Canis lupus familiaris: one gene and its partners. The protein of the gene in region 1 interacts with the protein of each later gene in a pairwise test. Links are inferred from orthologs where the notes say so. Each region holds a gene or a part of one and is shown in the gene's direction. Other genes may lie near its edges.

Region 1 (4,073 bases):
CATTGAAGAAATGAAATAAGAATGCAAGAATGTTGGCTTTCATTGAAGCTGTATTCGTGGATTTATTATACTTTCTCTATTTTTGTATATTTCTAAAAATTTCTCTAAATTTACATTTATTTATTTATTTTTGTATATTTCTAAAAATTTCTCTAATACAGTTAGGCAACGTGAATATTTTTTATTGCCAATCTACTTCTTCTGATTTAACAAAAGATACTATATCTCCAGCAGCCCCTAAAGCCTAGGAGAAATTATAACTAGGTGAACGGTTTGTAAAAGCAGGATGGGTTACCAAAGTAAGGGTGGTTGAGTTGTTAAAGAGACCAAAGCTTACAGGGGAGATAGTATGACATTAAGCACAAAAGTGGCAGAATTTGGGAATTTGTAACATGTTATTGGGTTTATCTGAAAATAAGGTAGAAAGACTGTACCCTGTAGACCAGACTTAAGGGTGACTGGTAAATTGTTTGGTTGGATTTCACTATCTGAAACAGACATAAAAGAGTAGAAGGGTGCTTTGGAAGAAATACTACCTGGCAGTGAAGAGGCCTACCTTTTTCCTTAGTAATTCTGAGAAGATCATTTCACTTTTCTGGGATTCAGATGGTTATAGTACCTGATGTCTTGGTACAACTCTCTCATATGCTGCTCTGCCAGCTATGAACAGCTAGAGATTTTGGATTAAACACTATACAAGGTCCTCTCAAGATCTAAAAGTTCCTGATGCTAATGAATGTGTATGATTGTGCTTCTTGAAAGGAGGAATTATATCTACATACCAAAGAATCCAAATTTCCCTATAGGATGATAAAGTCTTAGATGATAAGAAGAAGTAATGGTAGGGTAGACTGAATATAAACTTTTGTGTCTGCCAGTCACACAGAATTCTTTGTTGCTAGCCTCTGATCTACTTAGAAATACAGACTACCTAAGCAAGTGGCACTGCATTTACCCTTGGTGTTTAGTCCAGTGAATTGTTAGACTGGCCTATAACTTTGGGTCAGGTATAGTTCTTTTGGCTTCAAGAAGCAGCTTCCACAAGATAGCAGTTTATTTATTAGTAGCACGTGCTTTGTACATATCTAATTAAAACAAATAGTTCTGTGTGTATGTGTAAAACTCATAATGTTTTATTTCTAGAGGAGAACATTATAAGATAGGATTTATTCTAATGATTCTTAAAATCAGCTTTCTAGGAAGTCATACAAGTTTTGACACAGGAATGCTCAAATTGCCTAAGGGTTATCCATTCTTTTAAATATAATTTTCTTTAACACCTATTGAACTTTTTCTTTTTTCATTTAGGCAACGTGAATATTTTTTATTGCCAATCTACTTCTTCTGATTTAACAAAAGATACTATATCTCCAGCAGCCCCTAAAGCCTAGGAGTCCAGTAAATCATTAAACAGACTCATGACTGAAAAACAGGTAAACTTGAAATATTATATATATATTATAAATAATATATATAATTATATATAATAACTATATAATTATATATATATAATTTGATCATTCAAAATGTGTGGCATTATTTACAGAGTATTTGGTTTTTATGAGTCATAGTAGATAGCCACTGAGATGCCCACATAGCTTTTGGTTCCTAAAGCAGATAGCTTCAGTAATTTTAATTCTGGATCATGAATCTTTGTGACCAACAACATAAATAAGGGAAAAGATTGTAGGAGGAGAAGTGTGGAAGGGATAAAGAAGGTGAAGAAAGTCAGCAGTCAAAAGGAAAGATTTGGTGCTGTTAGTAATAGTGCTATTGTAGTCATACCAGTAGAGAGCTTAATGTTTGGGGGCATTTGAATGTGGAGAGTAGTATTTTTATATGTACTTTGTCTATATTAATCTTTAAGCTATTACAATATTTAATACTATATCACTAGTAAAAAAACTATTTTATAAATTATATTTTTCAAGCACTTAAACATTGATTGTAAATTCACTCAGATTACCTTTTCAAATATACTCACATAACTTAAAAAGCAAGTAAATTAACTTCACACAGTGATTTCAAATTGATCATTGTATTTACATTAAAAGACTATTAATATCATGGGTTTAAATATCCAAAAAATCATCTCTATTTTTATTCTTATCTGTATTGTATATTCTTACTACCTTTTCTTCCCATTATTGTTTTTATTTACTTAATTTAGAGAGTTAGGGAAAAAAAAATTTAGAGAGTTAGGGTCCCCCTCTCAGGTTTATGGTACGAATAGGTATTTAGAATCAGGGATACAAAACTTGAGAATATCTTTCAGAGTGACGCTACTAGAATCAGTTACTTAGATGGACAGACTCCTTTTTATAGTTAGACCTTGTCCACTATACAAGGGACTATCTACATCATTGGCTTTGACTATTCAGGCATTTTGATTTTTTTTGGTGACCTTATTCATTAAGTGGTACTTGTTTCTGTGTGACTTGCATTTAATTTACTGTTCAGTAAATATGACCTAATTGGCAGCTGTTTCTTATCTTTCTTTAAACTTTGGTCAAACCTTTTTTTTTTTTTTTTTTAAGATTTTATTTATTTGAGAAAGAGCAAGAGCCTGCACACAAGCAGGGGTAGTAGGGTCAGAAGGAGAGGGAGAAGCAGACTCCACACTGAGCACAGAGCCTGACATGGGTTTGATCCCATGATCCTGAGATCATGACCTGAGCTAGAATCAGATGCTTAACCAGCTGAGCCACCCAGGCACCTTGCAGCTGTTTCTTTTGAGTAGGGCCTGGTGTGATTTGGTTAAGCAAAAAAACCCTAAGGTTTGTTTGGTTCATTGAAATTACAAGGTGTTTTTTGGTTGGTATTTTTGTTTCAATTTATCCATTACAGCCTATATGTATGAGTATGGAATTATATAATGTGCTTTATTATTTGTGCTTATTTGCATTCTTTTTGATCTGCTAATTTTTTAGACATTTGTTTTAATTTTAATCATCATGTGTGCATAAAAAATTCATATTAAGAAACTTTGGAGAAAAAGTTCCATTATTTTGTAAACAAGGAAATTATATTTGAGAGGGTGTTTCTTCACTTTATATATTGAAGTTGATCGTTCTCTCACTCCTTGTAATTACAGCGAGAAGAAGCAGAATGGGAAAGCATAAATGTGCTGTTGATGATGCATGGCTTAAAGCCTTTATCTCTAGTCGAAAGAACTGATCTTAAAGGTAATCAAATCCTATTCTTGCTAGATCCTATCCTTTCTCATTATGGTAAAAAAATTGTTTTTCCTTTTATTTTTTTATTATTATTTTTTTTCCTTTTAAAACTAATTTTTATCTTAAATTTTTTTGCCTTTTTTACTATCTGTATTATATTAAAAAATGTAGATCTCATCGTTTTTGATAAACAGTCATCACAAAGGATGAGGCAGAATTTGAAAACATTGGTGGAGGAAACAACACGTCAACAGAACATGATCCAGGAGCTCATAGAAACTAATCAGCAGCTTAAGTAAGAAAACAGAATTCTCTTTTGAATTGTTTGTATACCAGTGGTATGCATTCTAAAAATAATGCCTTGAATCTTGAACTTTAATTTTCTATTTTGACTAAATATTAAGTTTAAAAAATATTTTTAGTAGGTAAATCTTTCAGTAATAGCTTAGCTTAGATATGTAAGGGTGCCTTGTATTTCTTCCATTGGTTTGTGTTATATGACAGAAATTTTAACAATGCAATGAAATTTTAGAAATTCGTTATGTTGTTAGATGAGTATGTTTGTTAATGTGATTTCCTTCTATACTAAGGGAAGAAATCATGTGTCTGTTTTTAGAAATGAACTTCAGCTAGAACAAAGCCGAGCAGCCGATCAGGAACAACGAGCTAATGACTTGGAACATATTATGGAGAGTGTGAAATCCAAAATTGGTGAATTGGAGGATGAATCCCTAAATAGGGTTTGCCAGCAACAGAATAAAATAAAAGATCTTCAAAAGGAATATAAAGCTTTACAGGTATTATGTGTTTTCTTATATGATAGTAGTAAAACAGCTCATTAAGGTCACAGGTGACTTCTATGTCACTTAATTCAGTGGTCTTTATCTTATTGACAGA
Region 2 (3,303 bases), on another chromosome or scaffold:
CTTGGTGTGCCCAGCCCAGTGCCCCCTCCGGCCCTGCCTCCGTCTCTGCGTCTCCACTCGTTCGCTCCTCACTCTGAGGTCAGCCCACAGTCCGCTCTTTGAGGGACCTGTCCTGACCCCCGACTGGCTGCTGTTCCCTCATGCTGTCACACCGTTTGTCCGGACAGATGTTGTCCTGTTGATCTACTCCCTCCTCCGTCCTCCGTCCTCCCTCAGATGGTGGCCCCCAGAAGGCAGCACCCTGCCCACCATGCCCCCTGCAGCTCCAGCCCCTCACTCAGGCAGGACCTTCTGAGTCCAGGGGATTCCAGTTCCTGTGTTTCAACACAAAACTGATGAAAGGGGCCCCTTCCCAAGGAGTTGAAGAACTGGAGGTGGGGCTGAGCCCCTCTCTGCCTTCCCATCACAAGTCCCCAAGGTGGGCACCTGGATCTTCCCTCCTATCAGACACTTTGGTAGAGCATCTTCGTGCCAAGACTTGTTTGTGGTACAGTGTACCCCGTCGTGAACAAGACAGGAACCCACAGCAGAGACAAGGAGCCCACTTAATGAGGCAGTGGAGGGCACTGGGGGTGTGGACACGCAGCCCTCGCTTGGGCTTCAACTGGGAAGAAAGGTTTCCCAGAGGAGCTGATACTTGGGATGGGTATTGAGGGATGTGTAGGAGTTCACAGAACACATTAGAAGAAAGGGGGGCATTGCAGGTGGAGGGAAGGGCATGGGTAGAGGCCCAGAGGGGAGAAGATGTGATGTGATTTAGGAAGCATAGGTGCAGGGAGCCCAAAGAAGGTGGGATCTGGGCCAGCTCACCCGCTCTTGTCCCCCCTCGCCCCCAGGCACCAAAAGCCAAGAAGAAGGCGGAGAGCTGGGAACGGAGCGTCGGCACCCTTGGCAGCAGGCCGCAGCTGTCAGGCCTCGTTGTGGTGAAGAAAGCAGACCTGGGTCGCAGCACCCAGCAGGGCCAGGTGTCCCCCACCCCCCAGGGTAGGTGTCCCAGGGTGCTGGGACCGCTGTGCGGTTCTTTGGGCAGCCACCAGGTGGCAGCACACACCACCCCCAGTGCAATTGGGGAGCTTGGGAACCCACTGCATGTAGGGGAGAGGGTTGCCCCCAGGATGCAGGGTGGAGGCCCCCTAGGCTAGCTCTCCCTCTCCCCCAGGCCCAGCGAGGAGCGGGAAGGCAGCTGACTCTGCAGCCTGGACGCCTGGTGCCTCCTCCCTGAGCCAGCTGGGAGCCTATTCCGACAGCGAGGACAGCAGTGGCAGCAACTGAGACCCCAACCCAGGCACGTCCCCAGGTCAAGGTCCCATCCAGCTTCAGCTGGTGGTCAGAGCAGGAGGTCTCGGCTGACACCTGAGCCATGCATGGTGGACAGACCCAAAAGTCCTCTGAGGCTGGCCAGACCAGCGAGGGCTTCGGCCGAGGGACTGTTTCTCCCTGTCCCCCCACCACTGACCCCTAGGACCTTGGGGTCCCCAGCGCACACTGCCGTCCTCCTGGCCCTCCGTTTGGGGCTGTGGCATCCCTGGAATGGCCCTCAGCTCCCGGCAGGCCCCTGCTGTACTCTCTTGGGTGGCCGTGTTGAGGGCAGGCAGGGAGCCCAGCCACCCCCATTAGCTCGTCCCCTGCGGCCACGACAGAAGGAACTCGCTGTCCAGCCGGGGCACCTTCTCTGCCAGCTGCTGAGGAGAGGCCACAGAGGCGCACGATGCGGCCTCCTCGCTCCTGGAAGCCACAAGATTGGGAAGGTGCTGATTAGTGCAAGTTTGGGGAGAATTTGTTATGTGGCCATAGTGCTCCAGGATGGTCACATGACCAGTGAATCGAGTCCGACGCTCAGGGTCTTTCAAGGTTGCCACGTTTCAGCTCTGGTACAACTCTCTCCCCCTTCACAGCTTCCTAGTTGAAGGCGGTGTGCTCCCGCCAGGCCCCCTCGCCACCTGACCCCCGGCTCTGCTCTCCCGCCCCTCCCGGGCTCACTGGCCTCGCCCTCCTCTCTCTCTCTCTCTCTCTCTCTCTCTCTCTCTCTCTCTCTTTCTCTTTCACATGCACGCAGCACGCACCTATGCACACATGCGCACACGCACTCATTTGGCTTTTGGTACCAAGGCTTTGTGTGTCTCCCGCCGTGTGTGAGCAACAAAGCCCCCCACTTTCAGGATCCACTTTCCTACAGTGATTTCGTGCTTCAGTGTGACTTGAAGAAGCGAACCAGGATCCAGCCAGGCCCCAGGTCCTCCCCTCACAGCTCCCGGCTGTGAAGACAGGCCGTGGGGGCCCCAGTTTCAAGCGCCAATGGTGCTGGGCTGAAGCCAGCTCCCTGGCCGCTGGCCAGAGCTGATGCACGGGGCACCCCACTCCCCAGTCCTGCCCTCAGCCGCATCCTGTTCACAGCTTCCAGTTGGCCGCGGCAGGAGGATTTACATCACAGGAGTCCATGCACTTACAGATGGGTGCCCCGCGCCAGAGAGCCAGCTGTGGGCATTCCCAGCGTGCCCCTGCCTGCCTCCCCAAGGTCAGTGTCAGTGTCGCACGGTGCCCCGGACGTGTGTGTTCATCCTGGCGGCTGGACTAGAGCAACCGACCGAAGCACTTGTGCAAGAGATTAGTAGGAGACTCAGGGCCTCCCTGGTTCACGCATTCTTGCAGACCCTTCCCTGAGCTCCTGTCCTGTGTGGCCCACCCTCGTCGCTGTGTGCAGGTGCCATCTGTTACTATTATTAAGATCATCGACTCTAACACATGGAGTAGCGAACCTGGCCCACAGCCTATTTTTGTGAATAAAGTTTTATTGGCACAGCCACATGCCCATTTGTATCCATGTAAGGTCCAGACGCTTTGCTCTATGGTGGCAGAGCCAACAGGTTTACGAGTCGCTCCCTGACAGTGGGACTTCGTCAGCCTCTGTCTGGGTCGCCCAGCTCTACACTTCCTGCTTGTTCCCCACAGCCTCCAGGGGAAGGTGGCCAACACCCGTCCACACCTCGATTTCCAGGCTCACACCGCACCTGCGACTCTGCTGCCTGGGGTCACCCTGAGGACAGAGACCACCTGCCCTTGCAGTGTGGCACAGGGAATGAGGTACATAGGATCCGTTTAGTGAGTAATAGTTAACGTCTGTGAAGTACTCCCCACTTGCCAAACCTGTGCTAAGCTGGTTGTGCAGATTCACTCGTTTGAGTTTCCCAAATCAAGTCGCTCACTCAAAACATACATATATGTATAATTTATATATAAAATAGATATTATAATATGCATATAATTTATACATAAAGTTTATAATATAATTAAGTTTATATGTAA
Region 3 (4,086 bases), on another chromosome or scaffold:
AGATAGAGACAGAGAAACAGGCAGAGAGAGAAGCAGGCTCCATGCACTGGGAGCCCGACATGGGGGGATCCGATCCCGGGTCTCCAGGATCGCACCCTGGGCCAAATGCAGGCGCTAAACCGCTGCGCCACCCAGGGATCCCCGGGCCGTCCTTTAAAAGCAAGGGCAGCAGCTTGTGTGCAGCACCCAGCAGGTGTGACTTAAGAACGGGGGATTCAGGCGTGTGATCCCAGTTACCAAAAGTCCCCGTCAGGCAGTGTTTTACTGAATGCACGCCCTCGTCTTCAGTGGAGTATATGTTATTTTTTTTCTAAAGATTTTATTTATTTATTCATGAGAGACACAGAGAGAGGCAGAGACACAGGCAGAGGGAGAAGCAGGCTCCGCACTGGGAGCCGGATGCAGGACTTGATCCCAGGACCCCAGGATCACGCCCTGAGCTAAAGGCAGATGCTCAACCGCAGAGCCACCCAGGCGTCCCGAGAATGTGTTATTATTACACCCCAATGCCACACCTGGGGAAACTGAGGCACAGACAGGGGAGATGACTTGTGTAGCAAGCACGTGTGTGGCAGGTATTACTTACATGAAGTGTTACGTAACTCACGTTTCCTCCTCCTCCTCATGGTTCTCAAAGTATGGTCCGTGGACCAGCAGTATCAGCACACGCGCGCGCGCACACACACACACACACACCCCCAGAACGAGTCAGAATCGCAGATTATGGGGCTCACTCCAGACCCGCTGAATCAGAAACTCTAGGGCGAGGCCAGGAGATCTGGGTTTCCGCAAGCCGTGCAGGGGATTCCGAAGAACGTCAAAGTTTGAAAACCACTTCCAGGGGATCCCTGGGTGGCTCGGTGGTTCGGCGCCTGCCTTTGGCCCAGGGCGTGGTCCCGGGGTCCCGGGGTCCCGGGGTCCTGGGATCGAGCCCCACGTCGGGCTTCCTGCATGGAGCCTGCTTCTCCCTCTGCCTGTGTCTCTGCCTCTCTCTCTCTCTCATGAATAAATAAATAAAATCTTAAAAAAAAAAAACACTGCTTCGCAATCATAAAGTCACTATAATCATTCCCATTTTACAAATGGGTAACTGCGGCAAAGCGAGGGCAGTTGGTCCGGAACCACAGCCGTAACGTCCTGAGCTCCGGGACTCGCTTTCACCGCCGCTAGCCTAGGAATGGGCCGGGGTTAGGAATCATGGGGCTGGGGAGGCGGGCTCCGCGGCCCCTTTAAAAGGCGGGGCCTGAGGAGCGGAACTGCGCAGCGGGAGTGCGAGGCGCCCCCGGGAACCTAAAAACCGCTACACCCGGAAGTGTCTTAGGCGTGCGGGAGCCGCGCCGCCGGAGGCCGCGCCGCCATGGGCCGCAACAAGAAGAAGAAGCGAGATGGCGACGACCGGCGGCCGCGGCTCGTCCTCAGCTTCGACGAAGAGAAGCGGCGGTGAGTGCGGAGGCTGGAGCGGATCTGCCTCGGGCTGCCGTCCGGGGCCGGGGCCAGAACCCGGGCCGAGCGGCTGCGCTCACGCAGAGGTCCCTTCCGGTCCCGCCCTCTCGGCGCGGCCCGCGGCTCCCCCCGACGCCCCCCGCGGGATGGACGCGCCCGCAGCCCCCCCCGGCCTGGGGGGTGGAATCGCCCGCCCCGCCCCCCTTCCCCGGCTCTGCGCCCCGAGTCCCGCAGTGCGCGCGGCGGGGGGTGGGGGTGGGGGTGGGCGGCAGGGGGTGGGGGTGGGGGTGGGCGGCGGTGGCTAGGGGACCCCCAGGCCTCTGCGTCAAGTCCGTCGGAGGTTCCCCGCCCCGCCCAGAGCGCCACTTTGCCGTGTGGTAGTGGGTCGGCGAAAAGCCTAGTGCTGCTCCCCGGACCCCCCAACATTTGGGAATGGTGCGGCCAGCTCCCGAGAGAAGGAGCCAAGATCACATAGAGGAGGGGAGGGCAGGTGCCGTCCAGGGGCCCTGCAGATGGGTCCAGGGGCAGGTGTCCTGGGGAAATGGGGTGAACTCCAGTGGAAAGTGTGTGGGTGTCTCCGTGAGGGTGGCCTGAAAAGCTCTGCTGGAAGTGGCTTAATTCACTAGGTCATGGGATTTGGCAATGTAGGAGGGGCCCCCACCTGTCCTAGGCTCGTAGGCCCACCTGCCTGGCCCTGTTGAAGCTGAGCCCTGGAGGGATGGGGGTGGAAGGAGCCTCTCGCTCTTCTTCCTGACCTTACACTCCCTATGACCTTTGGCAAGTAGTCTAGCTTCTCTCTGCCTCAGTGTCCCTGTCTGTAAAATGGGCATTGGTACCGACCACACAAGCTGTTGTGAGGAATAGGTGAGTTAACACGTGTGCATTTTTAGAGTGGGTACAGTATTAGTGGTTTTTCTCTTCCTGGGGTGAACCTTTCTTTCCTGTGTGTCCTCCTGACTCTCCCTCGACTCTTTCCTGTAGGGAGTACCTGACTGGCTTCCATAAGCGCAAGGTGGAACGGAAGAAGGCAGCCATTGAGGAGATCAAGCATCGGCTCAAGTTGGAGCAGAAGAAGCTCCGGGAGGAGGTACAGAGGGGAAGGCTGGGGGGGAAGGGGGCTAGGGAGAGAGAGAAAGTGTGTGTGTGCATGTGTGTATCTATATCTATATATCTATATCTGATTCCCAAGGGATTCACATCCTTGGGTGACCTTAACAGGGGCATCTGCAGAAATGAGGGGAGGTGTGGGCAGGCCCGGGGAGCAGTGTGTACATGCTGCATGTGGGCTCGGGTCTGGGGAAGGTGTAGAATGGAATCTCCTGGTGTTTCACTATGAGCTCCTGCCTGGGGTTGGCTGGAGAGGCCATCCTCACTGTGTTTCCTTCCCTTTTGGTTTCAGCGCCATCAGGAATACTTGAAGATGCTGGCAGAGAGAGAGGAGGCTCTGGGTAAGTCACATCTTTGCCCTGAGCTGAAGAAAAGCCAACAGACCTAGACTTATTTATCCCTTGGTGGATGGAAGGGGAGGGGTGTGGGGGCTGCACAGAAGCTAATTTCCTAGTTCCAGGGGTCTTGGTGGTGACGTGGGCCATCGGCCAGGGCTGGTGTTCAGGACCCTCTATAAATGTGGGTGGATCAGAGACAGGAAAGACCAACCTCTTGGTAAAGTGATCCTGAGCAGAAAGCCCAGTTTCTGAAGCCTGGAGGGACTGGGGGTAGAGGGGAATGGGTAGTAGCAGCTGCTGGGGTCACACCAGGTCTGTCCTAAATGAGAACCAGATGGTCTGAAGTCTCCCCAGAGTATCGGAAGGAGTTGAATCACTTACATTTGTCTGCAGACCAGGCTCTGGAGCTGGTGACTTCCTGGACACTCTCCCAGAGTAGAGGGGGCCATTGTACTCCAGGGCTGGGCAGGGGGTTAGAGTCTGGTTACTTGTGCTCTGAGGCTGAGACCTGGTTCTGTGCCCACCTTGCACAGAGGAGGCAGATGAACTGGAGAGGCTGGTGACAGCAAAGACAGAGTCAGTGCAGTATGACCACCCCAATCACACAGTCACCGTGACCACCATCAGTGACCTGGACCTCTCAGGTGCCCGGCTGCTTGGACTGCCTCCACCTGAGGTGAGTGTAACTTCCAGCCCTAGGGAAGATGGGCCCCAGTGCAGCCCTAGGTGCATACTGGCTTGTTGGGGATGCTGAGTGCTGGTCCCTGTTGGGCAGATTCCAGTGCGAGGGGCTCTTTCCCTCCTGGGCATTCTTCAGGGCCTGCACAAAATCCGTGGGGCTTGGAGAAGCCGGTTCTGTGACTCAGTGACTGTGGGAACATGGGCAAGTGTCTGCCTTGCCAACTTTCCTTTTGCCAATAAGTTGAGGGAGAGGGAGGTAATTGATGATAGCACCTGTTTCTTGGGATTGCTGTGAGTATAAAAGCGGTTAATCCAAGTGACGCACCTCAGATACCAGTTTGTGGTGATCACACCACTGCATGGTAACAGCAACGACACAGCCCATTCATGTGCACTGACCGTTTTCAAGCTGTGAGTGGGGAGGTACTCACAGATTGTAACCAGTATTTTAAAAAGATTAAAAAAAAAAAAAAGGATCCCCTTTTAAAAGCACTCAGTGGGCCCTGACTCATGACCC
Region 4 (4,235 bases), on another chromosome or scaffold:
TTTTTTATTGAGAGGTAGATGGAAAAGGAAAAGAAGCCTCAGTCCTTTTCACTGGCATAGAAAGGAATTGCAGGACAGTGAAATGAAAGTGAAGTTGTGTAAGTACACTCCAAGGGAGGAGTAAGCCAATCAACAGAGACAATGCACCTCCCCTGCCCAGGACATACTCCAGGGTGTGGGCTTATCTCAACTTTTTCTTTTGGGCTGGTCTTAGGGTCCTGACATTTGAGTGACAGACCTGGATTATATAATAACTAGCCAACTACACATGTCCTTTCCCAAAATATATTGGAAATGCCTGGGCAGGGTAGGAAACTGCGACACTATTTCTATTCTGGAGATAGGTCAAATAAGGACAAGAGGCTGCTTTCTGCCCAAGTGCAACAAGCACAACAAACTTAACTCTTCCTCTGCCAGGATGTTGTAAACACAAATCAATAGGATGGGATAAGGTGGTCCCTGGGCAATCCTTGTTTGGGGCTCTCCATCAGGACATCTAAGGCCCATTCTCCTGTAGTCAGTCATGCCTGACTTCCTGCCTAACGTTCAGTAAATAAGATCTGAAAACATATATTGTATTGAATATATGGATATTTCTAGGTATTCCTCTCTGCTCCCCATCTTTATTTCTTTGAAACATCAGTTCTATCATAGATTTGAGCAATTAACAATAGTTCTTTACAGCGACCATTGCATAAAAATGTAATTAACAATAATGTATTCATCCTTCAAACTCAGAAATCTGAGGAATGATTGCAAACCCCCCAGTTGGGAAATTGATCATACATGTGTTCTGAAGCTTGTCTTTTTACTCTGAGTATGCCTTAGTTAACTTAAAAGTCAAGTTCTGAATTATTTGTGCTATTCACAAAAGTTGACATCTACAATATATTCTGTCTTCATTGCATCTTTTTAAAAATCTCTCATCCTTTTTTTTTAAGATCTAAAAAGTGACTGAAACTGCAAAATAAAGACTATCATTTTATCCCTTCTTTGTCTAGTAGTAGTGGATACAATTTTATTTTGTAAAGATTCACGTGATCTGCTTGTTACAAACTTATTTTATTCTAAGACTGACTATTCGAGTATCAGCTAAGTATGTTTTGTCAATTGGAAAAAAAAAAACTCAACTTCACTGGCGCCAGAGAACTGCTTTATGCCTGCAAAATAAGAAACCATAACGCGGATTCTGCAAGTTGCAGTCCTCGAACTACCAAAGGGGAGATTTGCTAGAGGGTGGGGAAGGAGGTGGCTTACGGGGGCTGACATAGTTCTCCCTCCTCTTGGGGGCTCTGGGAACTGTAGTCCTCAACTCTGTCGGGAACCAAGGATCCGCTGCAGCGCTTGTTCCCCTTGGGGGCGTCTTGGGACATGTAGTTCCGGGGCGCCGCGGAGTCGGAGGCACTTCCGCCCCGGAAAAACAAGGCGGCCGCCATGTTTTCGGAAGTCCGGAGGTGAGTCAGGCTTGCACCCCACCCCCGACGCCTCGGAGCCCTCCCGGCCTGAGCGTGGGACTAGTCGCTACTTCGCCGGCCGTCTTAGAATGGAGAAGTCGCGGCCGCCGGCGAGGGCTGAGACACGGAGGGCAGACGCTCTCCTCCCCCTCTTACCAAGCGGCGCTGCTGCTCGCATCGGTACACTACCTGGCGACTTGTTCTTTGCGCCCTACGGTCTTCCTCCGCAAAGGAGCGAGCGAGCGGGAAAACACGGGAGGGTTGTGATTCGCAGGAAACGGGACGATACGTGTTCAAAGCTTAGAACGGTGGCGGCACGGGTAGCGGGGTGGCTCTTGCTATTGGGAACGCGAGTTCTGCCGCCCGCGCCCCTTGGCCTGGAAGCCCCAGCGGAGGGAGGGAGGGAGGGAGGCAGGGAGGCCGGGGCTCTGGGAGCAATGACTCGGCCCTGCGGTCGTCCTCCCGGACGCTGAGCTCTTCCCGAGCTTTACCCACCTCTCCGTCGGGAGGGCCCGAGGACCCCGCGCTCGCCCTGGCCATGGCCGCGGGGCCCCTTTCCTCACAGTCCCCGACTCGGGAAAGGAGAGGAAGGACGGACCCCCTGGTTCCTCCACCCGCCGCCCCGGGTGCCTCCCAGCCAGAGTACTTTCTTGGTCTGTCCTCTTCCGTTTTCAGTTCATTGGGTTTCCTTCCCTGAGTAAATTACTGCTGGGAAAATGTTGCAAGTGTTTGTTGCACCAATCTGCGGCATGTTTGATCTTGTTAACATGTGTCAGTGTGTGTATTCTAAATATACTTTCCTAAAAAAAATATTAATTTATTCATCAGAGACACAGAGGGAGAAGCGGGCCCCCTCCGGGGAACCTGATGCGAGCGAGACTCCATCCCGGGACCCCGGGATCACACCCTGAGCCAAAGGCAGACACTCAACTGCTGAGCCACCCAGGTGCCCTATATGTATTTGTTTTTAAATTGATCGCGTTGTATATTTCTTTTGCTCTCCTTTCTTCAGTTTTGTTTCTTTTTGTTTGCTCTCAACTGGTTTGGAATAAAAAACGGTTGTCTGTCCCAGATACTGAATTTAATCAGCGTGTGTTCTCATTCTGAGAAACGTAGAGTTTTAACACATACTTGATATCTGATGATGGCCCCTCACAACCACCACCTTTTTTAAACTGGAGGGCAAGAGGGCACCTTGCCCTCAGGGTGCTAAACCGCTGAGCCACCCAGGGATCCTCCAGGATGTATTTATTTTTAAAATATTTTAGAAGTGAAGTGAGGCAGGGGAGAGGGAGAGAAAGAATGTTAAGCATGGGGGCAGCCCCGGTGGCGCAGCGGTTTGGCGCCACCTGCAGCCCAGGGCGTGATCCTGGAGACCCGGGATCGAGTCCCACGTCGGGCTCCCTGCCTGGAGCCTACTTCTCCCTCTGCCTGTGTCTCTGCCTCTCTCTCTCTCTCTCTGTGTGTGTGTGTCGCTCATGAATAAATAAATAAAATATTAAAAAAAAAGAATGTTAAGCATGCTCTATGCCCAGTGCAGAGCCCAAGGTGGGGCTGGATCTCATGACCTTGAGATCACGACCTGAGCCAAAATCAAGAGTGGAATGCTTAACTGACTGAGCCATCCAGGCATCCCAGGAGTGTATTTATTTTTATTTACACTGTTCAGAACTGGTGTATATGAACTTAGCAATTATCTTTTGAATTAAGACTTCTCTGACATTTCTTCTGTTCTCTTTTCCTCATATTCCTTCTATTGGACAAATGTTGGAGCCTTTCAATCTATCTTCTGTCTTGATACTTTGTATCTTTATTTTTTACCTCCATGTTCATAGGATAAAAGGCTTTTTACCAATAATCGTTTTTTACTTCATGAAGTAAATTGGAAATGATGCTAATAACAGTGTGGATAAAATGTTATTAGGTGAGCAACAAATTCTTAAGAAATTTATTAATGTATGTACTTATTTATTTTTAGATAAGAAGGAATTTTAAGTCAGAATTAGGATTTTCAGAGAATAAAGATGATTTTCATAGGAGAGCATTAATACATATAGTCCAGATATCTTTCAGGTCTTTTTTGCTGTTGATGGAAAAGACATCTGCAGATAAGACTTTATGATGCAGACTATCATCTGCTTTTTTGCAGCTGCAAGAAAAAGGGACTCCTGGTTCTTTGAACTTTCCATCTACTCATTTAATCCGAGGAACAACCTTATGAGGTGGGTATGATTTGCAATTCTTATATTCATGTGCAGATGACCTCAATGAGGCACGGAGAGTTTTTTCTTTAACACCCCCTATGTTATATAGATGGTAAGTATCATTTCTAGGATTTAAACCTAGGTCTTTGGCTGTAGAACCCACTTAAAAAAAAAATCTACATGTTAACAGTGCTATTCATTTTCTATCATCCTCAGGATGAGAAATTCTTATAGTAGGGATACTGCATTTGGTTGTACAGTGAACTGTACAGTTGTTCACTGTCCAATGGCCCCAGGCTGACAGACTTAGTAGTTGCAATCTGCTCCATGCTCTGCTTACCGTGCTATATGTGGCTACATCTGCCTGGAAGTAGGAGAGCTATTGTATAATTTCTGCAAAGATCGACATGGGCTTGTGGCACCCCTGGCCTGCATCTCATGGCTTTCTTTGTCCTTTCCCAGTTATGCCTCCTCAGGATTCTGACCTTCCCCAGAAGGAGCAGGAGAAAATGACCAAGTTTCAGGTAAGGCATTCTTTTCTGTCTCCTCAGATATGATTTAATTTCTAAAAAATTAG
Region 5 (4,167 bases), on another chromosome or scaffold:
ATATGTTAGAGGCCAGGTCACTGCCTGGAGAGAATGGGGAGAGCCTGCTTTCTTGTATGCCCTAGAGCCCAGTCTTAGCTGGAAGCTTGTTCTTTCTTTGCTGGGTCCCCCACTTTACTCAGGGCTCAGACAAGTAGAGGTTCTTAAAAATCTGCATTTTTAAGACAACCTTGGGAGACTTTTGCCTCAATCTTGGCAGCTAGAAGTTGCAAATCAAATACTACTCCATTAGAAAACTAAAATAATAATAATAATAATAATTGAAAGCTGCACTGGAATTATGTCTCCGTGGATTTGAGATCCACTGTTACCATGCAAGGAGGGTGAGGGGGTTGAATTATTTGTGGAGGGGTTTGAACAGGGCATGTTTTTGTTTGTTTGTTTTGTTTTGTTTTGTTCTTTTCCCTGAAACCTGGTAGGTGTCTGTGAGACAATCTGTGTCACCCAAGGGATCTGGGTTTTGTAAAAGGCAGGCAACCCGGGCAAGGTGTTCATTCTGGTGAGATCCCATTTTGTGAAATGAGAAATGCCAGCCCTGAGTTATTTCCATAATCACTCTGAGAAGAGCTTTAAGGCCTTCCGTGATCCATGTCAAAGGCTGAAAGGGAGGGCACCTGGGTGGCTCAGTGGTTGAACATCTGACTTTGGCTCAGGTCATGATCCTGGGGTCTTGGGATCGAATGCCGCATCAGGCTCCCTACAGGGAGTCTGCTTCTCCATCTGCTGTGTTTCTGCCTTTTTTTCTGTCCCTCTCATGAATAGATAGATTTAAAAAAAAAAAAAAAAAAAAAAAAAAAGCAGAGAGGGAGGTTTCCAGAAGCAGCTATTTTGAAGGGGGCTCTGAAGAGAAGATTTGCCTAAGAAAAAAAGAAACGGATGGGTGTGGTGTTTACCACCACTCTCATTTATTGAGTTGAATTTGGGATTCAGTGACAGCTCTGTGTCCCGGGCAGGGCAGCTGGCTCTTGGGTTAAGTTCAAGTGGACTATTGATTCTGCTCTGAACACACAAAGTTCTCCCAGTGTCCCTTCTCTCTCTGTCTCCTGCTGATGTTTGGGTTTAGGTCTACAAAGCTCCAGACGCCAGGCCTGATGTCCTAGCAGAGAACTCTTTAGAGCTGCTGGAGTGCTGGGCATGGCTTTAGGTGGGGACCCAGTGAGCATTGTTTGTTTCTTACCAGCTGGGGATTGCCAGCCAGACACTGAATTTCTGGTGTGCTTTTAAATGCTCAAAGACACAGTGCTCTGAAAAAGCAGCAGCCGGCGAGGAAACCGCTGGAGGTGGGGAGCTCTTGGCTGGTGTGGTCTCAGCTTCTGACACTTATAACTGATGGCCCCCTGTCACTTCCTGTCATGCAGCCCAAGTGGCGGGGAGGAGTTCCTTCAGGGAAACCATGCTCTGCTCAGCTCAGAGAATCCCGGTCTGCAGGGCTCCGTCGCAATTAGGGGCGGGGGACTCTGCGTGGATGAGGCCAGAGCGCCCCATGGTTTGGTGCTGCTTCTTTGTCAGGGCTCAGGTAAGCTCCCTGTGGCAGAGCCAGGGATGAATGGGCTCCCAGCTTCCACCCATGCCTGGCTGGGCGGTGCCAGGAGCTGGGGTGCAGGAGGGCGAAGCTGTCTTTCACCTCCCAAGACAAATGGGCAGGGAGGGGCTTTACAAACACCTGGAATGATGGAGGAGGACTTCTGTCTGCTTCACGTGAATCAGAAAAAAAGCTGTGTGGTTGTGTTTAAGACCACAATGGTTGCTTGGTTGGAGATGGTGAGTTAAGCGAGCGTCTAGCTGTCAGTGCTTCCTTTAGCATCTGTGATTGGAGGAGAGAGTGTGTGTGCGTGTGTGAGGGGGGTGTCTTTCACTCTTTGTTCCACGATGCTACTGTTTTAATTTTCATAAGAGATCTGTTTTCAATTAAATGGGGAAAAAAAGAGGGGAAAAAAGGATGCATCTGCCGTCTGGCGTTTCTTTGTTTGGGGCGGGGGGCGTTTACAAAGTCACAAAGTAGATTTCCAAGATCTTTTCTTCTCCTTTGAGTTGAAAGATGGCTGAAATCAATTCTGGAAATTCATTCTGCTTGGAACAACTTTTTTGTAGGTTTCCTCATCGTGAATCTTGTGAATGTGTTCATCATTGAGAAGATGAAGTCAGATATTAGGGGACATCCAGACTCACTGGTGTTTTCATTAAGAGTGTTGGTGCTTAGTTTGGTTATGTCTGAAAGAATGGCTGGAAATGTTACATTTCTATGGGCTGAAGAATGATTAGGAGGCCTGAAGGTGACTCCCTCTGTCCTTTTTGTTTGTGGGTGGGTATTAAAGCTTTGGATAAACCACCACTATTTTCCAAAGAAAGTGTCCACTGCTTTTTCTACTCCTCTCACTGGAATTCTGAGGCTGGTTTTTGTAATGCTAACTCCAACTCTCATACATGACCATTCTAGACATACATTTTAAATCTTTTTGTGTGATTTGGGTGGTTTTACGGTCTTTCTCCTTTCCCATCTGACTCATCCATCTGTTTGCTCACCTGATAAAGAATCATTTTTGAGCCTTTGAGATACAGAAATTGACATTTAAAATGACTTACTACAATTTAGTGATAGTTAATGCAACATAAATAAAAAATAATATAATACTAGCCAACATTTGTTAGATACCTTTTTTAAGATTTATTTATTTATTTATTCATGATAGACACAGAGAGAGAGAGAGGCAGAGACACAGGCAGAGGGAGAAGCAGGCTCCATGCCAGGAGCCCGACGCAGGACTCGATCCCAGTACTCCAGGATTGCGCCCCGGGCCAAAGGCAGGCGCCAAACCGCTGAGCCACCCAGGGATCCCCCTGTTAGGTACTTTTCACATTAGTAAGCACTTTACTCCCATTAGCTCATGAAATTCCTACAACACTATAGAATTGACTATTATTAGTATCTCTAATTTTAGATGGTAAAACTCCGATTTTGAGAAGATAAATAATTTGCCCAAGGTCACCTAGCTGGGGAGCAGTGGATCAGGCTTCAAACTCAGGCAGAATGGATCCAGAAATGACATTCTTAGCTATTAGGTGCTGCATGAGGATTTCAATGATGGGACCCTTTCTACATCATCTGCAGCATCTTCAATAACACTTTGCTTTCCTATCCTTTGGCAAGTCAGCCTGTTTTGGTGGATGTTTGCTGTGGTCCAATTAGCAGCTACCAAAGGGGCATCTAGACAAATTACTACCTTCTCTGGACTTAGCTTCCCTACCTGTCAAATGGAAGTTTCTCTAAACTCATTTTAGTTCTGATACAAATCTAAGGTGTGCAAATATCTTGTACAAAAAGTCAAAAATAGGTCTCACATATTTCCTATTTCAAAGCTAAATGAGTGCACTTAAACATACATTTCCCAAGGAACTGGAACTCACAATGTAATTGGCTGGGTGGCTGTTGACCTTTATTTTGCTCTTGAAAATATTACTGACTAAATATTTATTTCTCGGTTTGAGAGTTTTCAGGGAAAGGATCTGGAGGAATGGGGACTGGGTGTGGGAGGTCAATTGGTAAATGGTAGAGAAAAGGAGGATACAAACTCTTTAAAGATCTCATAAATCCATCTTCTGAGATTTGGCCAAGGTAGTTCTGTATCAGTGGAGAAATGGTAGAGTGTAATGATTAAGGGCATGGGTTTTAGGACTACTCAGATGTAGGTTCCAACTTTGCCTCTTATTAGCCATGTGATCCTAGGCATATTACCAAATATCTCTTAGTCTGTCTTTTGCTCTGCAAAATGGTGATAATAAAGAACATCTACTATATAGGACTGTCATAAGGAATAAATGAAATGACCCACAGTAGTGCCTCACACAGAGCCAGAACTCAGCAAATGTGATCCATGTCCTAGGTCTTATTGACTGTAGAATGTTGGTGGGCACCAGAGACATGAATCCTGAGTGCATATTTATATACAGAGATGACCAGGGTTCGATTTTGTTGAGGGAAGGAAGCATATTCCACGGAAGGTCAATACTTTATTTTAAAGCCCCAATTCCAGCCATGTTTTTACAGCTTGGCCAGGATGCCAAGTAGTAGCCACGAAAAGGGAAGTTGATTCAAACCAGATTCTATAAAGGCCTTTCTTGATAGAACACTCAGAGGTATGACTCGGAGAGGGCGAGGTCAGGGTGGTG
Region 6 (4,182 bases), on another chromosome or scaffold:
GTGCGGTCTGGGCACACTATTAAGGACGATACCCCCAAGCCGAGATATGCTCTTAGCACCAGAGCATCCAAGACGGACCTCAAGAGCACACGAGGAAGTGCAAAGTAACAGTAATAGTGGGAAATTAAATGCAGAAGGGATAGGAGAGGAAGAAACGTGAAGCCCTTGTCCAACATGTTCTTATGTAGGTTATTCAGAAGTATTTATACCAAACACCAAAAGCTAAATCCTAAATGCTGAAAGCTGCTGCCCGTGTTACCACCGGCCCAGAATATTCCCGACGACAGTGCTGGCATTGAACTCTTCAGAATCCTCTGTTTTTCTCATCAGTTAGATGGTTTACCTTCTGCTGCTTTGTTATCTAGCTCGGGGGGGGGGGGGGGGGGGGCGTCTCAGGTGAAACTGGGGTCCAGGATTCTAACAAATGACTGAGCACGCCTGGCTTCCACCCGGTTGCTTTCCGCAGGCTTTGCTCCTCTCAAAGCATTTTAAGCCGCGAGGTTAAATCCTCAACGTCTGCTCTCCACTTCCCAGCTTATTAAAATGGCTCTTCTTGCCTTCTATCCCTGACCAACTTTTCCCCCCTTTCAAAACTGACCCTTTGATTATCAGCATTATTACTACTTAAATAGCCATGCTTTTTTTTTTTTTTTAAACTCTAGCTTCACTAAAAATATTCCTTCCTCTTCTTCGCTCCCTCAACTCTTGGCGCAAGCACCTAGATCTCCAGGGCTCACTTGGGCTAAACGGGGTTCACCGCTCCTCTGACTCTGGTACCTCACCGGCCCCCGCCCCGCCCCCGCCCCACCCCCACCCACGGCTCTCACACCCGCACAGAACCGGGGAAGGAGCTGGGCGCTCACCCTAGAGCGAAACTGGGAACTCTTTGGAGCTACCGCTGCTGGAGAATGGTTTTGCCTCCTTCCGCGACGTGAAGGACTTGCTGCTCTCTACGGGCAAGGACAATGTCTCCTCTACCAGACAACAAACTTCCTGAGGATGGACGCTACCCTTCTTAGTTCCTTTTACACGCCCCCATTCCCATCACGTTGAGACACAGGATGGCTTTTGAAATACAATTTCTTGGGCAAAATATCCCTTCCCAACTTTGAGTTTATACGATAAACAGGAATGCCCTTTAGCCAATTAGGCAACGAAGGGGTTAAACTTCAGCCACCTGATGGATTCTGGGGGTTTCCTTCCTCGACTTCAGAAATTAAAACGACCGGGAAGGGAAATTTTGCCCAAGGTAAAGATGAGAACCGTTAGCTTCTACCGTCAGGCTTCAGCCCCAAACAAGAATGGCTGCCCACGTCCGCAAAATGTACCAAACCCCCTAACTAAAAATGGCTGGCCTGGATTTCTACCACTGGGCTACCTCTCTGCCCAACTCCAAAATGGCGCTCACTAGCCTCAGCAAGAGGAGCGAACCTCCCAGCACCCTCTCCGGCCCGCAGCGTCAGGTGACGCGAGCCCCAGCCGGAAGTGAAGGAAAAAGCGCCTCAGCCCGCGGCGCCTGCGCAGAAGGGTCTAGACGCTGTGAAGCAGGAGGCACTTGGGATCGTCCGCAGGATTGGGACTGCTACAGAGGCCGCCACGGAGCCCGCCGGAGCCACCGTTCCTGCTGCTGCTGCCGCCGCTGCCCGAATCGGAACTGTCGGGCCGCAGCCGCCGGCAATGCCGCGAAGGAAGGTGAGGGGAACAGGACAGAAGGGATGGCGGGTGTCTGAGGATAGTCGATTGAGCAACGTGACGCAGTTAGCCACGCCTCACAGTGGTTGGGTTCCAACTTCCCGCTTCCCCGAACCTAGCTCAGCAAGCCTCCCTCCTGTCCATACCCAACAGAAAAATGTGGGCCCGATCCTGGCCTCGGCCTGTGCTTGCAACTATTCCCGCCCTCTGCTTGCCTGGCTCGGAGGCGTTCTTCTCGGTAATTGGTCGCTGAAACGCCTAGCAGCATATTGATTGGCTGGTGGCACCGCCCATTTGGGTCCAACGGTCACCTCCCCGCGTGCGGGGGCGGTGTCGGGGCCCGGCCCTGCCGCGCTCCCACTGGCTGTGGAGAACGATCCCTCCTCTCATGATTGGCTTGGCTTGGCAGTCTGTCCCGTGGGGGCGCGGTGTAGCAGTAGCGCCATTGGGTGGCGCGAATCCCCGCCCTTCCGGCCGCTGATGCTGATAGGTGCATAGGCGGCGTTTTGGAGCATCCTTCCTTTCCAGGCGGGGGGCACAACAAAGCAGAGGACTGGGTGGTAGGGAACCAGCGCCCACTCCCGGGGGATCCCACTCAGGCCTGTTGCGTCTGAGCCCGTAATTTTTCCCTATTGGCCCAATTGGACAGCGGCCAGAAAATGCCGTTTGTAAAGCAAAAACTTTCTCGAGTTAGATGGGATGTCTGAGGTCACCTAGGGACACCCCCATCCCTTTTCTTTGCAGCTGTACAAACAGGCCTGATGGGAGTGCCCCCAAGCCACTCCCATTAGGCAGTAGCCGACGGAGCCAGGACTACAGAACAAATCTAATTCAGTTCAACACATGTTTATTGACTACTTGCTACTGTGCTAGTTGCTGGGGATTCACGAATTAATTAGACATGATCCCTGGCTTAAGGAGATCACAGTCTGATGGGGAAAACGGACATAAAAAACTGTAGAAGGAGCTAGTAAATTCTCTACTTGGGGGTATATGGTATATACTAAGTGTTGTGGGAGGGAAGTGAGGTAGCAATTAAGTATGCTTTGGAGTAAGATGGGAAGTAGATGGTGGAAGCCAGAGAGAAGAGCTGAATTCCAGGGTCAAACCAGGAGGGAATGGTCAGGGATCGAACTATCTAGGTAATTGGACTAGATGACCTATAAGATTCCTCCCTTCATCTTAGGGATTTTCTGTGACTCTGGAGCCTCTGCTTCTTTCTGGGCAGGTTACCCTTGATATATTTGGAAAGTTGTGTGGTATTCTTGCTCATTTCTGCAGAAATATTTCTTTTCACAGAGGTTTTCAAATAAAGTATTTGTACCTTTTATCTTCTTAAATGGTCTACATTGGTAGACGGTATTTATGTTAAGGCTCACCAAATGCTGGAATAGTATTGGTGCCTTGGAATAGGTCCACAGTCCCCTTTCTGCAGTTTCCAAATACAAAGAGCTTTTGAAAATGTAAGTGTTTTTAGTAACTTACTTGGTTGGCTGAATCTGTCCTGAACTATCCTGAGGCTACTTAGAGTTTTTGTGTGTCTCATTGGGTGTGATTGTTTATATGTCCTGCTGTAGAAATAATACTAATGTGTTTGATGATGAGGCGTTACTTGCGGGATATATGCAAAATATCTCTCTTCCAAAAAGCCAAAAAGTTATGAATTTCAAACACAACTGGCCTGAAGGGTTTTGAATAGAAAATAAGGGGCTTGTAGTTTGAAGTTTTGTATGGTTTTCTAAGCAAATTCTCTATCCTTTTTGGCTTGGTAAAGGGTATAGTGTTAATGTTCAACTGTTAAAAGTTATCTGTATGGCTAATCATGGTTCAGGAAGCTAATAATTGACAAATAATTATTAATTAAGGAGATGATAATATCTCTTTTTGAGTATCTACAAGTCTTCATGTGGAAGCTGCCTTTTTTTTTTTTTTTTTTAAGCACTTTGGTATTCGTGTGGAGAAACTTCATAGTTAGACCACATAAGGAAGAAGGATTTTAGTCTTTAAGTTCTCTTGGTATCAGAGTTGTGGACCATGATATTTAGAATTAGTAGATGTTTAAAATAATGTGATGGCTGTTTGTGGAGACTTTGAACAAAAGCTGCTCTAAAGTTAAAAGGACTCTAGCATTGATTTCTCACCACCATGGACTTTAAGTGCATAGTTATGTCAGCCAGACCATTTTGAATGGGGTACTTTTATTTCCAGTTTGTAGTACTGACTGATAAATGGACTTATTACAGAATTAGTGTTAATAAAGTAAGAATTAATTATCTTTCGTTCATTTAATAAAGGTGCTTTATTTGTAGGTTGTTCCATTTTAAATGCTTTAAGAAAAGAGTGTTTGGCAGTTGAATCCTTCCTTAGTATTTTCAGTATCATGGTTCATTTTATTTCCAGTGTTAACACAAACCCACAGAGTAAATGCTTCTGTGCTAATGTCTGGATCTATGGTGTTACAGAGGAATGCAGGCAGTAGTTCAGATGGAA
Region 7 (3,500 bases), on another chromosome or scaffold:
GGGTCATCAACATTCATATATAATTTTTCCAAAAATAAATTTATGTTAGTACTTTCCTGCTCATCCTCCTTTTCTACTTCCCTTTTCTTCATGTATAAAAATTTAGACATTTTTGAAATACTGGTGTTTGTACTAAGAAAGTAGATAGCTCTAATTATTGGGAATAAATTCTTTTGTAATTTTTTTCCCAGCAAAATTGAAGAAAGACCTAATTGAGCTACCAATTTAAAAGTATTTTTTAGGGGTGACTGGGTGGCTCAGTCAATTAAGCATCCAGCTCTTGATTTTGGCTCAGGTCATGATCTCAAGATCATGAGATCAAGCCCTGCATTGGGCTCCATAAAAGGTATAGGGCCTGCTTAAGATTCTCTCTCTCCCTCTCCCTCTCACCCTCCCCCCCAATAATAAATAATAAATAAAAGTATTTTTTTAAGATATTATTTATTTACTTTATCATGAGAGACCCAGAAAGAAAAGCAGAGACATAGGCAGATGGAGAAGCAGGCTCCATGCAGGGAACCTGATGTGGGAGTCGATCCCGGGACTCCAGGATCATGCCCTGGGCCCGAAGGTAGGCGCTAAACCTCTGAGCCACCCAGGGATCCCCAATAAAACTATTTTTTAATGATTCATCTTTGTGACTTGTGGACCACATCATCGGAGATATTCAAACAGTGACATCACTACAACAATACTCTATTTCCATCTATCTATTTAGGGTAAGAAGGTTTCTTAGGGTTAAATCTATAAATGTTAAATACAGGAATTGAATTAATGCTGAACATTGTCACAATCTAGCAGTAAGATCCAGAGATACATGAGCTAGAAAAACAATCGATGCATTTCAAATAAATTTACTTTGATGTGTGATAATTATTAAAATGTGTAATGTATTCCTATATTATTTTAATCAATTACATAGTAATATTAGTAATGGCAACTCAATTCAGAATTTTATTTTTTAGAAAGGGAGTAAGAGAGGGGCAGAGGGAGAGGGAGAGGCAGGTTATAACAAGAATTACTGGGCTCCGTACATGCCACAAAAGACAGAGTGTTTCTCCAGTGAAAGACAGTTTGGGGGATAGCTGAAGGGTTTATATGAACTGTGTATAATCACTTTATTAACAGGAGCTTCCCCCTCTCTCCCTTCATGTTTATCAGCATCGGAGAAACTAATGTAGAAAGGAAGACCAAGAAAAAAAGGTATGTGTGGCTTTAGGAGTATTATGTGGATAATAAATAATACTAGTGAGAGGAATGGGAAGAATGCTTTAAAAATAATTGTGATAAAGTTTGGATCTGAAGTCTCTTGTTTGTCATTCCTGATTAAGTATCATCCTTATTTCATGATCTGTTCCTCTCTTTACCCAACTGGACCTTTCTGCCTTCACTTTTTTTTCTCCAGCTTTCCAGAGGCTTTCTCCCTGGAAATAGTAAATAATTTCTCTTAAAAATCTCCTATATTAGAATAGGAAATATTATTAGACTGGTAAGAAATTGTTGACCAGCTATATCTGATTCAAAGTAAAGATGTTGAAACACCATGCTACCTGAGGTTTAAGAAAGCCCAGTTGTTCCACTGCAACTTTATTCTAACATTATTCTTCCTGGATCATAGTACAGTAGGAGTACTTATCTTGAATTCTGTCCAAGATAGTTAAAGTGCCAAAGTAAAGGACATTGTGGTTGCCACGGGATTTCTACAGTTATGCAATCCCCAGCGCTTCGGGTCTAGTGATTCCATGCTAGCAGAGCTTCAGTGTATGTAATCGCTTCCCCATGAAATTGCTCTCCAACAATCTGTTAGGTGTCAGCTTCCTGTGCGTGTAACTCCTCACTGTCTACTAGGTCTAAGAGTGTAACCAGTTCCAGCAGCAGTAGCAGCGACAGTTCAGCCAGTGATTCTTCATCAGAGAGTGAAGAAACGTCTACCTCATCCTCCTCAGAGGACAGCGACACTGATGAAAGCTCCTCCAGTTCCTCATCTTCATCCTCCTCCACAAGCTCTTCCTCGTCCTCTGATTCAGACTCAGATTCCAGCTCTTCCAGTAGCAGCAGCACCAGCACAGAGAGCAGCTCTGAGGATGAACCACCAAAGAAGAAGAAAAAGAAATAGAACGCCATCTCTCTTGTACTGCTGGACTCAAAAAATTAATGTGACTTTCGAAAGGGGTATTTAGACTACATTAAGGCCATATAGGGTAACCAGTCAAAATTACTGGAGTTCAAAAATTTCTAAATGTTTTACATCAGAAGAGCATAAAGAGTATTAATGGATTATATATAAGACTTTTTTTATTTTAAGAGTAAATCTTGTTTTTCTTTTTTATTTTTAATATATATCTCTAAAACTTAATCAAAGCTGAATCCAGTAAATCTGTTTTGGGGATGAGACTTATCTTTTCTCCCTGTGAGATAATTGCCATCCTTTGTTATATGTTAGTGCTATGTACCAGACATATTTTCAGGATAATGCATCAGAATATCTGGCAGTGAATTTCTTTTTTTTTTTTTTTTTGGCAGTGAATTTCTAATGCTTTTGGCTGTGTGTTATTATATAAGATTTAATACATTGTTACTATAAAATTAGAAGTGTTCCTCTTAAAAATTGTGCCCTATTTTTATGTTTATGTTCAGAAAGTTATTCTGACTTCTTGTCCTAAATGAAAAGCTCAAGGAACCTGTTATTATATTTATACCTTTTGGATGGTACAAATGTCAAGTTATTGTGTTATATCATCCATTTTCTTCTGGCTCTTAGAGTTACTCTTTTTTTTTTTTTTTTTTTTTTTTTAAGTTCGTGCTGGGCTCGAACTCACAACCCTGTGATCAAGACTTGAGCTGAGATCAAGAGTCAAATGCTTAACTGAATGAGCCACCCAGGTATCCTGTAAAGTTACTCTTTTTCTGAGGAAAATCAATCAGAAGAACCTAAAAAGGAACCAAAATTCTGAAACTACTTAGGAGTCTAATCTTGGTGCCTTTTGATAAATTCTGTGTATTAGAAAAGAGTCATTTAAAAGCCTAACTTAAGGAAAAGTGATACAAGTATCTTTGTGTTGTTATGCTATAAAAGGTAGGAGAGGAAAAAATAGGTACAAAGGTAATTTTAACAGAGAATTAGGGCAATGTTGGTTGCCTTTTATTAAGTTTTTCTAAGCTTTCATAAGGATTGCCTTTTACCATTTTTGCAATTGTGGTATAAGTTTATATGGCAGCTGGTCATATATGACATTCTACTGCATAAATATGAATGACTTGGACTAATCTGGTGTGTTTACATAGCATATACACAGTTGAAGTGTAGCATGAAAGATTAAAAAGAAATATTGCACAATGTTTCTTAAAATACTCTGCTGTGGTGAAATTATTTTGTTTCGCATGACATCATTCTGTGATGTCTTTTAAGCTCTTTGGAAAGAGTTATCATTTGTAGAAAAATCTTGATTCGGGCTAAATATGGGTTTTTAAAACTATGAATGTTGTCTTTTTTATATTTT

Evidence for each region.
Region 2: the proteins of CEP70 (region 1) and YJU2 interact in a two-hybrid assay, tested with the Homo sapiens proteins (2 studies listed by BioGRID and IntAct). The two-hybrid records come from large-scale screens. The link is inferred for Canis lupus familiaris from reciprocal best matches to the Homo sapiens genes CEP70 and YJU2.
Region 3: the proteins of CEP70 (region 1) and NOL12 interact in binary tests that used the Homo sapiens proteins (3 or more experiments, as listed by UniProt). The two-hybrid records come from large-scale screens. The link is inferred for Canis lupus familiaris from reciprocal best matches to the Homo sapiens genes CEP70 and NOL12.
Region 4: the proteins of CEP70 (region 1) and ZNF227 interact in binary tests that used the Homo sapiens proteins (3 or more experiments, as listed by UniProt). The two-hybrid records come from large-scale screens. The link is inferred for Canis lupus familiaris from reciprocal best matches to the Homo sapiens genes CEP70 and ZNF227.
Region 5: the proteins of CEP70 (region 1) and ARHGEF3 interact in binary tests that used the Homo sapiens proteins (3 or more experiments, as listed by UniProt). The link is inferred for Canis lupus familiaris from reciprocal best matches to the Homo sapiens genes CEP70 and ARHGEF3.
Region 6: the proteins of CEP70 (region 1) and KAT7 interact in a two-hybrid assay, tested with the Homo sapiens proteins (2 studies listed by BioGRID and IntAct). The two-hybrid records come from large-scale screens. The link is inferred for Canis lupus familiaris from reciprocal best matches to the Homo sapiens genes CEP70 and KAT7.
Region 7: the proteins of CEP70 (region 1) and ZCCHC10 interact in binary tests that used the Homo sapiens proteins (3 or more experiments, as listed by UniProt). The two-hybrid records come from large-scale screens. The link is inferred for Canis lupus familiaris from reciprocal best matches to the Homo sapiens genes CEP70 and ZCCHC10.

Annotation. Positions count from the first base shown.
Region 1 is NC_049244.1:35,301,043-35,305,115, reverse strand, and holds the start of CEP70 (centrosomal protein of 70 kDa), read left to right. Parts: upstream 1-1,273; 5' UTR 1,274-1,418; coding exon 1,419-1,433; intron 1,434-3,094; coding exon 3,095-3,185; intron 3,186-3,347; coding exon 3,348-3,471; intron 3,472-3,792; coding exon 3,793-3,973; intron 3,974-4,073.
Region 2 is NC_049241.1:55,766,507-55,769,809, reverse strand, and holds the end of YJU2 (splicing factor YJU2), read left to right. Parts: intron 1-836; coding exon 837-984; intron 985-1,159; coding exon 1,160-1,272; 3' UTR 1,273-2,803; downstream 2,804-3,303.
Region 3 is NC_049231.1:27,924,004-27,928,089, reverse strand, and holds the start of NOL12 (nucleolar protein 12), read left to right. Parts: upstream 1-1,286; 5' UTR 1,287-1,357; coding exon 1,358-1,440; intron 1,441-2,424; coding exon 2,425-2,530; intron 2,531-2,842; coding exon 2,843-2,891; intron 2,892-3,421; coding exon 3,422-3,564; intron 3,565-4,046; exon of another isoform or gene 4,047-4,086. UniProt on the Homo sapiens protein: Multifunctional RNA binding protein that plays a role in RNA metabolism and DNA maintenance. Participates in the resolution of DNA stress and the maintenance of genome integrity by localizing to sites of DNA insults.
Region 4 is NC_049222.1:111,821,377-111,825,611, reverse strand, and holds the start of ZNF227 (zinc finger protein 227), read left to right. Parts: upstream 1-1,435; 5' UTR 1,436-1,454; intron 1,455-1,462; exon of another isoform or gene 1,463-1,634; intron 1,635-2,341; exon of another isoform or gene 2,342-2,400; intron 2,401-3,603; 5' UTR 3,604-3,676; intron 3,677-4,120; 5' UTR 4,121-4,122; coding exon 4,123-4,182; intron 4,183-4,235. UniProt on the Homo sapiens protein: May be involved in transcriptional regulation.
Region 5 is NC_049241.1:33,695,477-33,699,643, forward strand, and holds the start of ARHGEF3 (rho guanine nucleotide exchange factor 3), read left to right. Parts: upstream 1-1,367; 5' UTR 1,368-1,393; coding exon 1,394-1,516; intron 1,517-4,167. UniProt on the Homo sapiens protein: Acts as a guanine nucleotide exchange factor (GEF) for RhoA and RhoB GTPases.
Region 6 is NC_049230.1:25,791,379-25,795,560, forward strand, and holds the start of KAT7 (histone acetyltransferase KAT7), read left to right. Parts: upstream 1-1,382; 5' UTR 1,383-1,397; coding exon 1,398-1,692; exon of another isoform or gene 1,693-1,876; intron 1,877-4,154; coding exon of another isoform or gene 4,155-4,182. UniProt on the Homo sapiens protein: Catalytic subunit of histone acetyltransferase HBO1 complexes, which specifically mediate acetylation of histone H3 at 'Lys-14' (H3K14ac), thereby regulating various processes, such as gene transcription, protein ubiquitination, immune regulation, stem cell pluripotent and self-renewal maintenance and embryonic development.
Region 7 is NC_049232.1:21,261,205-21,264,704, reverse strand, and holds part of ZCCHC10 (zinc finger CCHC domain-containing protein 10), read left to right. Parts: intron 1-1,128; coding exon 1,129-1,203; intron 1,204-1,848; coding exon 1,849-2,116; 3' UTR 2,117-3,500.